Linked DNA regions of Saccharomyces cerevisiae S288C. The protein of the gene in region 1 interacts with the protein of each later gene in a biochemical or structural test. Each region holds a gene or a part of one and is shown on either strand. Other genes may lie near its edges.

Evidence for each region.
Region 2: of the proteins of GID7 (region 1) and PCK1, one has a biochemical effect on the other in vitro, tested with the Saccharomyces cerevisiae proteins (one study listed by BioGRID).
Region 3: of the proteins of GID7 (region 1) and FBP1, one has a biochemical effect on the other in vitro, tested with the Saccharomyces cerevisiae proteins (one study listed by BioGRID).

What each region holds. Positions count from the first base shown.
Region 1 is NC_001135.5:50,684-55,393, forward strand, and holds GID7 (glucose-induced degradation complex subunit GID7), read left to right. Parts: upstream 1-1,961; coding exon 1,962-4,199; downstream 4,200-4,710. Other genes in the region: YCL042W (uncharacterized protein), read left to right, coding at 1-260; GLK1 (glucokinase), read left to right, coding at 155-1,657; ATG22 (Atg22p), read right to left, coding at 4,258-4,710.
Region 2 is NC_001143.9:629,040-633,372, forward strand, and holds PCK1 (phosphoenolpyruvate carboxykinase PCK1), read left to right. Parts: upstream 1-2,112; coding exon 2,113-3,762; downstream 3,763-4,333. Other genes in the region: ESL2 (Esl2p), read left to right, coding at 1-1,341; ubiquitin-specific protease UBP11, read right to left, coding at 3,987-4,333.
Region 3 is NC_001144.5:873,246-876,785, reverse strand, and holds FBP1 (fructose 1,6-bisphosphate 1-phosphatase), read left to right. Parts: upstream 1-1,993; coding exon 1,994-3,040; downstream 3,041-3,540. Other genes in the region: translocon subunit SEC61, read left to right, coding at 1-1,050; PSY3 (Psy3p), read left to right, coding at 3,232-3,540.

The DNA.
Region 1 (4,710 bases):
CGTGGTGTCACACCACGCTCAAACGGTGGGCACTAATGAAAACGCGCCCATATAAATATCCGCTATCAACAGAACCCCCAACCCCCCCATCAGTGCCCAACTCAGCTTCCGTAAACCACAACACCACCACTAATACAACTCTATCATACACAAGATGTCATTCGACGACTTACACAAAGCCACTGAGAGAGCGGTCATCCAGGCCGTGGACCAGATCTGCGACGATTTCGAGGTTACCCCCGAGAAGCTGGACGAATTAACTGCTTACTTCATCGAACAAATGGAAAAAGGTCTAGCTCCACCAAAGGAAGGCCACACATTGGCCTCGGACAAAGGTCTTCCTATGATTCCGGCGTTCGTCACCGGGTCACCCAACGGGACGGAGCGCGGTGTTTTACTAGCCGCCGACCTGGGTGGTACCAATTTCCGTATATGTTCTGTTAACTTGCATGGAGATCATACTTTCTCCATGGAGCAAATGAAGTCCAAGATTCCCGATGATTTGCTAGACGATGAGAACGTCACATCTGACGACCTGTTTGGGTTTCTAGCACGTCGTACACTGGCCTTTATGAAGAAGTATCACCCGGACGAGTTGGCCAAGGGTAAAGACGCCAAGCCCATGAAACTGGGGTTCACTTTCTCATACCCTGTAGACCAGACCTCTCTAAACTCCGGGACATTGATCCGTTGGACCAAGGGTTTCCGCATCGCGGACACCGTCGGAAAGGATGTCGTGCAATTGTACCAGGAGCAATTAAGCGCTCAGGGTATGCCTATGATCAAGGTTGTTGCATTAACCAACGACACCGTCGGAACGTACCTATCGCATTGCTACACGTCCGATAACACGGACTCAATGACGTCCGGAGAAATCTCGGAGCCGGTCATCGGATGTATTTTCGGTACCGGTACCAATGGGTGCTATATGGAGGAGATCAACAAGATCACGAAGTTGCCACAGGAGTTGCGTGACAAGTTGATAAAGGAGGGTAAGACACACATGATCATCAATGTCGAATGGGGGTCCTTCGATAATGAGCTCAAGCACTTGCCTACTACTAAGTATGACGTCGTAATTGACCAGAAACTGTCAACGAACCCGGGATTTCACTTGTTTGAAAAACGTGTCTCAGGGATGTTCTTGGGTGAGGTGTTGCGTAACATTTTAGTGGACTTGCACTCGCAAGGCTTGCTTTTGCAACAGTACAGGTCCAAGGAACAACTTCCTCGCCACTTGACTACACCTTTCCAGTTGTCATCCGAAGTGCTGTCGCATATTGAAATTGACGACTCGACAGGTCTACGTGAAACAGAGTTGTCATTATTACAGAGTCTCAGACTGCCCACCACTCCAACAGAGCGTGTTCAAATTCAAAAATTGGTGCGCGCGATTTCTAGGAGATCTGCGTATTTAGCCGCCGTGCCGCTTGCCGCGATATTGATCAAGACAAATGCTTTGAACAAGAGATATCATGGTGAAGTCGAGATCGGTTGTGATGGTTCCGTTGTGGAATACTACCCCGGTTTCAGATCTATGCTGAGACACGCCTTAGCCTTGTCACCCTTGGGTGCCGAGGGTGAGAGGAAGGTGCACTTGAAGATTGCCAAGGATGGTTCCGGAGTGGGTGCCGCCTTGTGTGCGCTTGTAGCATGATCTTTTTACATTTTTTTGGTTTGTGTACGTATCCCACCGTACTTACCATCTTCTCTCCTTTATATATATATATATATATGTATATTTTCAGTGTATATACATACATTCTTATACAATACCGTATAAGAACGTATGTATGTATGTATGATTTTCTCACATTAATGAACAATATCATCGGAAACGGGCCTTTGGTTTTTAAGGGAAAATGAAGAACAATAAATGCCTTGCTAGGTCTTCCTTTATCATTTTTGGAAGTCAAATATGAAAAACACTTCCAAGGGGGCGTACTACTTCAACTAATAAAATGTCACACACTAATAAGATCGCATACGTGTTGAACAATGACACGGAGGAAACAGCCTCGCCCTCTTCCGTTGGTTGTTTTGACAAGAAACAGCTCACTAAATTACTGATACATACTCTAAAGGAGCTGGGCTACGACTCCGCCGCTAACCAGTTACTGCTAGAGAGCGGCGGATATCAAAATGAGTCTAACCACATCCAGACTTTCTTCAAACTCATCAAGACCGGCCAATTCCATCTTATTAATTGGCAGATTGTTTGCTCGCTGCCCCTTGCCCATAGCTCTCCGCTAAGGTCCGAATGGCTTCAAAGGCTGCTCATTCCCACGCCGACGCCCGCCACGACTTCACTTTTCGACCACATGCTCCTGCAACTGCAATACCTGCAACAGCTGATGAGCTCTGTAAATTCATCTACTTGTTCGGACGCAGAGATCGCCACGCTCAGAAATTACGTAGAGATCATGATTCTAGTTAATAGACAAATATTCCTCGAATTCTTCCATCCAGTCACAAATTCCGCCTCTCACAAGGGCCCTCACACTGCACTGCCCGTCCTGTATTTGCGCAAAATCCTCAAAAACTTCATCGAGATATGGGATTCCCTGCTGGTGTCTAACGATCAGTTCCTAAATGAAGAAAACATCTTCAATCCGGAAACGACCTTGAGAGAACTGTCGACGTACCTGACCAACCCAAAACTAACCGCGCAGTTGAACCTCGAGCGAGACCATCTGATTGACGCCATCTCCAAATATATCGATCCGAACGAACTCGTTCCCAAGGGTCGTCTCTTGCATCTCTTGAAACAGGCCATCAAGTATCAACAATCACAAGACATTTTTAATATCATCGATCCGGATGATGACGCCTCTTTCTCCTCTCCACCCCACCGGATCAACCTTTTGCAGGATAACTTCTCACACGATCTGACTGTGACCTTTCAAGAATGGAAGACTATCCAAGACACCACAGACGAAATTTGGTTTTTGACATTTTCGCCCAATGGCAAGTATTTGGCTTCTGCGACTTCCGAGTCTTCAAGAGGCTACTTCATTACTGTTTATGATGTGGAACAAGACTTCAAAATTTATAAGACTTGCGTGAGCTTGTCACAATCCGTATTGTACCTCATGTTTTCTCCTGATAGCCGGTATCTGGTTGCTTGCCCTTTCAGCGAAGATGTTACCATTTACGACATGAATGCCACCTCCCTGCCCGATGCGTCTGCCACAGACTCGTTCCTACTATACCCTTCTACCAGGCTCTCGCCCATGGACTCGTTTAAACTGGACACCACCACGTACCCAGATGATACCGAATCATCAGCATCATCTTCCTCGAGGCCGGCAAACGCGAATTCTAATCAATCAAGAGTATGGTGCTGCGATGCCTTCCACACTGCGGAACGTGCGGGCTGGATGGTGGTTGGATCGCCCGACAGAGAAGCTATTGTACACTCACTCACCACGAAAGAGTCACTTTTTAGCTTAAAAGGCAGGACTTGTATCGCGTTGGGCCACGATGAAAACATCTCTGGGAGAAAATCAATCGATCCTGCAAAAGTCCTTTACAAACCAACAAGTAGCAATGGTAACTGGCAATATGTGGAGGACGACGAAACCTTTCCACGTGTGCACGACGTGAAAATCAGCTATGACGATAAATACGTGCTTTTAATGACCCACCAGGGCGTTATAGATGTCTACGATTTCAGTGGGTTCCCCTCCAAAGAGGAGCTATCTAAGCAAACAGTGGATCCCAAAAACTTTCTGATTCCAAGGATCGCAAGATTGGACGTGGGCAAAAACATGACTTGTATCTCATTACCGCTAAATACCACGCATCAAGGCTTCCATAGGCAACAAATATCCGAGTCTCAACATTTGGTATTAGTTAGCCTTCAAGATAACGAATTACAAATGTGGGACTATAAAGAAAATATTCTCATACAAAAGTACTTTGGACAGAAGCAACAGCACTTTATTATCAGATCTTGCTTCGCCTACGGTAATAAGCTTGTCATGAGCGGATCAGAAGATGGTAAAATTTACATTTGGGATAGAATTAGAGGTAACCTAGTATCTGTTTTATCCGGTCATTCCACGGTAATGAGTAATTCCACAAAACCCATGGGGAAAAATTGTAACGTAGTTGCATCAAACCCTGCAGATAAAGAAATGTTTGCTTCTGGCGGTGATGACGGTAAGATAAAAATCTGGAAAATTTCAAGAAATTAATACTCCACCTTATATATATACGTAAGCAAAGTTTTATGTAACAAAAAAAAAAAAAGAACTAATCCAACCTTCTTTCACTTTCAGGTAAAACTTGACTGAGTTCTTCAGCCTCTCTTCTACCTCTCTTGACATCCAAACAGTTTAGCACAGGCAATGATAGCATCAAAAGCAAAAAGAAGAAATAAAACGAATAGCGAATATTATGCGTTTTATCGGTAAGCAGTCCAACAAGGAAGGGTCCCAGGATGGACGACCCCTTATCTGTGATACTGAACATACTAAAAAACGTGGATTCTTTTCCTGGAGGTACAATCAAACTGAAAACTGATCTTGAAACCGCGGACAGGCCACCTAGTGATAATCCATACCAAATGGCCAATAAGAACATTTCAAACTTATGCTTTAAACCGAACGCATTGAAGAAAAATCCAAGAATACCATAAAATGGTATGAAACTTGCCCAAATGATAATGTACATCAAAGTTTGACTAGAAGTCCACCGAAACTTTGT
Region 2 (4,333 bases), on another chromosome or scaffold:
GATACAATGGTTACCTTTATGAATGTTTTGATTGTGTATTTATTGGATAACCAAACATCGAACTCTATTATTGGAGATTTATGCGATGACTACGATAAATTAAGCCTTTCTGAACTTTTAGAATTATTCAATGAAGGCGAAGAATTACCAGAAATTTTGGGCTGTTGGGGAACATTGTGGTTTGACACAATTTGCGAAAAGAATACGCATTCGATTAGTAGTGAAGATAATTTTCAAGAAATCGGTATAAAAGATTATATGGCATTGGATTCGCCGACAGATGGAATTATATTTGATGAAAAGGACGAAAATGGTGAAAAATTCTGGAAAAGGGCATGCAGAACCATATTTCTTTTTAGAGAGCTGTCAAGAAGTTTTCCAATAGGCGTAATAATCAGAAACGATCCGTTGATATATCGTTCATCATTTCAAAATACTAATATATTGGGAAGTTTAGTCTTCAAACTCGAACCCTTGTGCAATATACACAACAATATACCAGTATTAGGTGCCCTGGAAAGTATTATTGACATATCTGAGGCAAGAAGTGAAAACAACACTGATCTGCACGCTGTGCCGGAACTAAGTGTCAACGAGGGCGATAATATCTTCCACTATGTTGGCTACAAGAAACTTCGTGCCGATTATACGTGCTTCGATAAAAATGGAGAATTTTTAAGCGCCTCGCTTTACACTACATGGTATGTCCCGAACAGCAACAACACTAACATAGAGGACAACATCAATTATAACAGCGAAAAGGAAAATGAAGGTCTATTTCTGGAATGTATAAAATCTGATTATCCAGAAATAGATTTTAAAACTACATACTTTGTCTTTGATGCAACTTCTTGGCTAAGACATTCCGCACGCATATTCAAGCTAGCTCAAAACAGACTGCTAAGATTTGCCATTTGTTTAACCACATTCCAAGAGCTGAGATTTTTACGAAAGTCAAAGGACGAAAACGTCATGGAGGCTGCCACAAGAGGTATAATAACTATAAGGCAGCTTTACTATGAGAATAAAGTATTACCCCTAAGATTCACAGGTAATGTAGCGACACACATCGAAGAGAACTTAGAATTTGAAGAACAAATAACATGGAGGACACATGTCGACGAGTTTGTCATCGAATCCGTAATGAAGGCGCAAGAAAAACTAGAGAGTGCCAGCGAACCGCGTCTTTCCCCTCGCCGCTTTAACTACGTAGTTCTGATATCTGACGACGACGCCATGAAGAAAAAAGCAGAAGAAAAAGAAATAAAAACGCTAAGCACACGATTTGTGTTTTCTTTGTGCACAAAACTTGGCGAACAGCGCCATCTGTGTACAGACTGATCGTTCGTTGTACGTACATTTACAACAACACCAATTCTACTCACCGCCATAAATAACACTTTAATTTTAATATATACTTTTATATGCATATAACCAACTGACTTCCATACAATTCTGACCAGAGCACTTGGGCAGAGCCCCCACCCAGGGCCTTGTCGGAAAAAATCGGAATATCCCACACGATCCACCGGAGAATATCGGGACGCTGACGGGTGAATGGAGATCTGGATTTCCTAATTTGGATACATCTCTTTTCTTTTTTTGACTCACAATAGGAAAAAACCGAGCTTCCTTTCATCCGGCGCGGCTGTGTTCTACATATCACTGAAGCTCCGGGTATTTTAAGTTATACAAGGGAAAGATGCCGGCTAGACTAGCAAGTTTTAGGCTGCTTAACATTATGGATAGGCGGATAAAGGGCCCAAACAGGATTGTAAAGCTTAGACGCTTCTGGTTGGACAATGGTACGTTTGTGTATTAAGTAAGGCTTGGCTGGGGATAGCAACATTGGGCAGAGTATAGAAGACCACAAAAAAAAGGTATATAAGGGCAGAGAAGTCTTTGTAATGTGTGTAACTTCTCTTCCATGTGTAATCAGTATTTCTACTTACTTCTTAAATATACAGAAGTAAGACAGATAACCAACAGCCTTTCCCAGATATACATATATATCTTTATTTCAGCTTAAACAATAATTATATTTGTTTAACTCAAAAATAAAAAAAAAAAACCAAACTCACGCAACTAATTATTCCATAATAAAATAACAACATGTCCCCTTCTAAAATGAATGCTACAGTAGGATCTACTTCCGAAGTTGAACAAAAAATCAGACAAGAATTGGCTCTTAGTGACGAAGTCACCACCATCAGACGCAATGCTCCAGCTGCCGTTTTGTATGAAGATGGTCTAAAAGAAAATAAAACTGTCATTTCATCAAGCGGTGCATTGATCGCTTATTCCGGTGTTAAAACCGGAAGATCTCCAAAGGACAAACGTATTGTTGAAGAACCTACCTCGAAAGACGAAATTTGGTGGGGTCCGGTCAATAAACCATGTTCTGAAAGAACATGGTCTATCAACCGTGAAAGAGCTGCAGATTACTTGAGAACAAGAGACCACATTTATATTGTCGATGCATTTGCAGGATGGGATCCAAAATACAGAATCAAAGTCCGCGTTGTTTGTGCCAGGGCTTACCACGCTTTATTCATGACAAATATGCTTATTAGACCTACAGAAGAAGAATTAGCCCATTTTGGAGAACCTGATTTTACTGTCTGGAACGCTGGTCAGTTCCCAGCCAATTTACACACCCAGGATATGTCTTCAAAGAGTACTATAGAAATTAACTTCAAAGCAATGGAAATGATCATTTTAGGTACCGAATACGCCGGTGAAATGAAAAAAGGTATTTTCACAGTTATGTTTTACTTGATGCCTGTGCACCATAACGTTTTAACTTTGCACTCTTCCGCCAACCAGGGTATTCAAAACGGTGACGTTACTTTATTCTTTGGCCTAAGTGGTACCGGGAAAACCACTTTATCCGCAGACCCACATAGATTGTTGATCGGCGATGATGAACATTGTTGGTCCGACCATGGTGTCTTCAATATCGAAGGTGGTTGTTACGCCAAGTGTATTAATTTATCTGCCGAAAAGGAGCCTGAAATTTTCGACGCTATCAAGTTTGGTTCTGTATTAGAAAACGTTATCTATGACGAGAAGTCGCATGTAGTCGACTATGACGACTCTTCTATTACTGAAAATACTAGATGTGCCTACCCAATTGACTACATTCCAAGTGCCAAGATTCCATGTTTGGCGGACTCTCATCCAAAGAACATTATCCTGCTAACTTGTGATGCTTCGGGTGTTTTACCACCAGTATCTAAATTGACTCCTGAACAAGTCATGTACCATTTCATCTCTGGTTACACTTCTAAAATGGCTGGTACTGAGCAAGGTGTCACTGAACCTGAACCAACATTTTCATCTTGTTTCGGACAACCCTTCCTAGCCTTGCACCCTATTAGATACGCAACCATGTTAGCTACAAAGATGTCTCAACATAAAGCTAATGCGTACTTAATCAACACCGGCTGGACTGGTTCTTCCTACGTATCTGGTGGTAAACGTTGCCCATTGAAGTACACAAGGGCCATTCTGGATTCTATTCATGATGGTTCGTTAGCCAATGAAACGTACGAAACTTTACCGATTTTCAATCTTCAAGTACCTACCAAGGTTAACGGTGTTCCAGCTGAGCTTTTGAATCCTGCTAAAAACTGGTCTCAAGGTGAATCCAAATACAGAGGTGCAGTTACCAACTTGGCCAACTTGTTTGTTCAAAATTTCAAGATTTATCAAGACAGAGCCACACCAGATGTATTAGCCGCTGGTCCTCAATTCGAGTAAACGAAACATGTTCGTTCGATATGTTCAATCCAAAAAAAAAAAAAAGAATTAGAATTATTTCGACATCATAAATGTTCGTAATATATTATTTTGTCAATTTTTTCTCTTCCCATTTCAGCTTTTTTTTAATAACTGAAACTGGATCAACAAGCACATGTTTTTCTAATTAATCTTTCAAACATATTTATGTATATACATAAGGAAAATTCAAAAATCCGATGCAATTAACAGAATTCTTCTTCATAGTTCTCTTCATCCATTCTTTCGTAGAATAAGACGTATACCTCATCGCTAGACATTTCTGTTTTGCCGGCTTCAAAGTTGTTGCGATCCTTGCGATGTTGCTGTATATAATCGTCATCAAATGTAACCCAAACTTGTCTATTCAGTCCAATTTCATGGCTCTTTTCTTTGTTCACAACAGAAGTATAGTGTCCATTGATAAGGTTACCGGAATGATTCACCGTTCCATATAACTTGTATCGAATCACTTTACCGTTCTTTAAAATAATGTTCAATATCAAAGGGTAGGTTATTACAGTGCTGTTTTTTTTTGTTAAATCATAATAGA
Region 3 (3,540 bases), on another chromosome or scaffold:
GTGGTCGTCATGACAGGTAACTACGGTGCCCCTTCGGACCTCGGATTGCCCATCTGTTTGTTGTTAATCTTTCAATTGATGTTTGCATCGCTGATTGTGATGTTATTAGACGAATTGCTATCTAAGGGTTACGGCTTGGGTTCCGGTATTTCTCTGTTCACGGCAACCAATATTGCCGAACAAATTTTCTGGAGAGCGTTTGCTCCTACTACAGTCAATTCCGGTCGTGGTAAGGAGTTCGAAGGTGCTGTGATTGCCTTTTTCCATCTTTTGGCTGTCAGAAAGGACAAGAAAAGAGCCCTTGTCGAGGCCTTTTACCGTACCAATCTACCTAATATGTTCCAAGTGTTGATGACCGTGGCCATCTTCCTCTTTGTTTTATATTTACAAGGCTTCCGTTACGAATTGCCCATCAGGTCAACCAAAGTGAGAGGTCAAATTGGTATCTACCCCATCAAACTCTTTTATACTTCCAACACCCCAATCATGTTGCAGAGTGCATTGACTTCTAACATTTTCTTGATCTCTCAAATCCTTTTCCAGAAATACCCAACCAATCCATTGATTCGTTTGATCGGTGTTTGGGGTATCAGGCCGGGCACCCAGGGCCCTCAAATGGCCTTGAGCGGGTTGGCCTACTACATCCAACCATTAATGTCTTTATCCGAAGCTCTTCTGGACCCTATCAAGACCATCGTCTACATCACATTTGTTCTTGGTTCATGCGCAGTATTTTCCAAGACATGGATCGAAATCTCCGGCACTTCCCCACGTGACATTGCCAAACAATTCAAAGATCAAGGCATGGTCATTAACGGTAAGAGAGAAACCTCCATTTACAGAGAATTGAAGAAGATCATTCCAACTGCTGCTGCTTTCGGCGGTGCTACCATCGGTGCTCTTTCTGTTGGCTCCGACCTACTAGGTACTTTAGGTTCTGGGGCATCCATTTTGATGGCTACTACCACCATCTACGGCTACTACGAAGCTGCCGCCAAGGAAGGTGGGTTTACTAAGAACCTCGTTCCAGGATTTTCTGATTTGATGTGAATATAAAATGAAAATAATATCCAAAGAAAAAAAAAATCGCATTTAGCCACACCCCTCCCTCTATTTTTTTATTTTGTTACCATAGTTTTATCAACGCCTTCTTACACCTGTATAGAGCTAAATAACTATATATATGTATGCGCAAATAATTCCTAGAAAATCGTCGATTTTTATAAATTCTAACCGCCGATTAACAATATCATACGCGATCTAAATTTATAATAGGCGTGAAGCAAAGGAAGTTGATAAAAAAAAAGTAAAGAACTCCTCATAGGGGGCTCGAACCCCTGACATTTCGGTATCCTTGCTTAAGCAAATGCGCTTAAAAGCCGAACGCTCTACCAACTGAGCTAACAAGGATGAGTTCTTCGAATTTTCCAGTCTAAGATAGACAACCCATCAAACTGCATGGTCCCGGGCTAACTTCTGCTCTCTTTTCCGGACGGATGGAATCGCCGCTTTTGAATTCACCTCCGGGGTATTATTATTATTCTTAGTAGTCGCGGTCGTGCGGACACCCGGAGTTATGCGGGCCCGAAAGCTCATTATGTAGTAAAGCTAGGTAATGTTAAGGGCGTAAGAGCCAACGCAAGGCAGCAATAGCCTGGTATTCCCACATATCAAGAAAGCTTAAAAAGTTGAGACAGGGAATTTGAAGGCGAAGATTGCCGAACTGGCCAATACCCACTACTTTTTTTTTGGTTTGCTTGGTTTCTTCCTGTCGCTTGCCAACTTGTGGCATCTTCCCCACACTATATTATAAGGATCGTCCTATGTATAGGCAATATTATCCATTTCACTCGCTAACAAATGTACGTATATATATGGAGCAACAAGTAGTGCAATTACAGACGTGTATTTTGTCTTGATCTTGCTTTTTGTATGATAGGCCTAAGAATAACAGTGCGAACATATAAGAAACATCCCTCATACTACCACACATATGCCAACTCTAGTAAATGGACCAAGAAGAGACTCTACCGAAGGGTTTGATACCGATATCATCACTCTTCCTAGATTCATAATCGAGCACCAGAAGCAATTTAAGAACGCTACTGGTGATTTCACATTAGTACTGAATGCCTTGCAATTCGCGTTCAAATTTGTATCTCACACCATCAGACGTGCTGAATTGGTTAACTTGGTTGGGTTAGCAGGCGCTTCCAACTTCACTGGTGACCAGCAAAAGAAGTTGGACGTTCTAGGTGATGAAATATTTATCAATGCCATGAGGGCTAGTGGGATCATCAAGGTCCTTGTATCTGAAGAACAGGAAGACTTGATCGTTTTTCCCACAAACACGGGCTCATACGCAGTGTGTTGTGATCCTATTGATGGCTCCTCAAATTTGGACGCCGGTGTCTCCGTTGGAACTATCGCGTCTATATTCAGACTGCTACCAGACTCATCAGGTACTATAAACGACGTACTGAGATGTGGTAAAGAAATGGTAGCCGCTTGCTATGCCATGTACGGATCCTCTACGCATCTAGTATTGACATTGGGTGATGGAGTTGATGGGTTTACCTTAGACACAAACTTGGGCGAATTCATCTTGACTCATCCTAACTTAAGAATTCCGCCTCAAAAGGCCATCTACTCAATTAATGAAGGTAACACCCTCTACTGGAACGAGACTATAAGAACATTTATTGAGAAAGTCAAACAACCCCAAGCAGACAACAACAACAAGCCTTTCTCGGCTAGGTATGTTGGATCCATGGTTGCTGATGTTCACAGGACGTTTCTTTACGGTGGCCTTTTCGCATACCCTTGCGACAAGAAGAGCCCCAACGGAAAACTGAGGTTGCTTTATGAGGCCTTCCCAATGGCTTTCTTAATGGAACAAGCAGGGGGAAAAGCGGTCAACGATCGCGGAGAGAGAATCTTGGATTTGGTGCCAAGTCATATCCATGACAAATCTTCTATTTGGTTGGGTTCTTCAGGTGAAATTGACAAATTTTTAGACCATATTGGCAAGTCACAGTAGTTCAATGATCGCCTTCTTTTCTTATTTTCTTTGTTCTGTACTTTAGTACGCGAAAAAAAAAAATCTGTATATGTCCTTATATATATATATATTTATATATATATATGTGTATGTATGTGTACCGTAAGCATTACTCCTTCTAATAATGAAAATTCTTAGGAAAAGAGAAAGGAAGTAGCGAATGGAATGGGATGGAAGTTTTAAAGAACATTAGAATTTATCCTTTGTCAAACTTCATCACATCAACCAAGAACTATATAAACCTACCAAATGAATTAAGAAACCTAATTAGTGAAGAGCAGGAGAGTAAACTAGGGTTCTTGCACATCATTGAAAGTGATTTTAAACCTTCGGTAGCGCTGCAAAAGTTGGTGAATTGTACTACGGGGGACGAAAAGATCCTAATCATAGATATAGTATCAATATGGTCCCAACAAAAGCAAAGACAGCATGGCGCGATCTACATGAATTCGCTATCTTGCATAAACATCACGGGATTA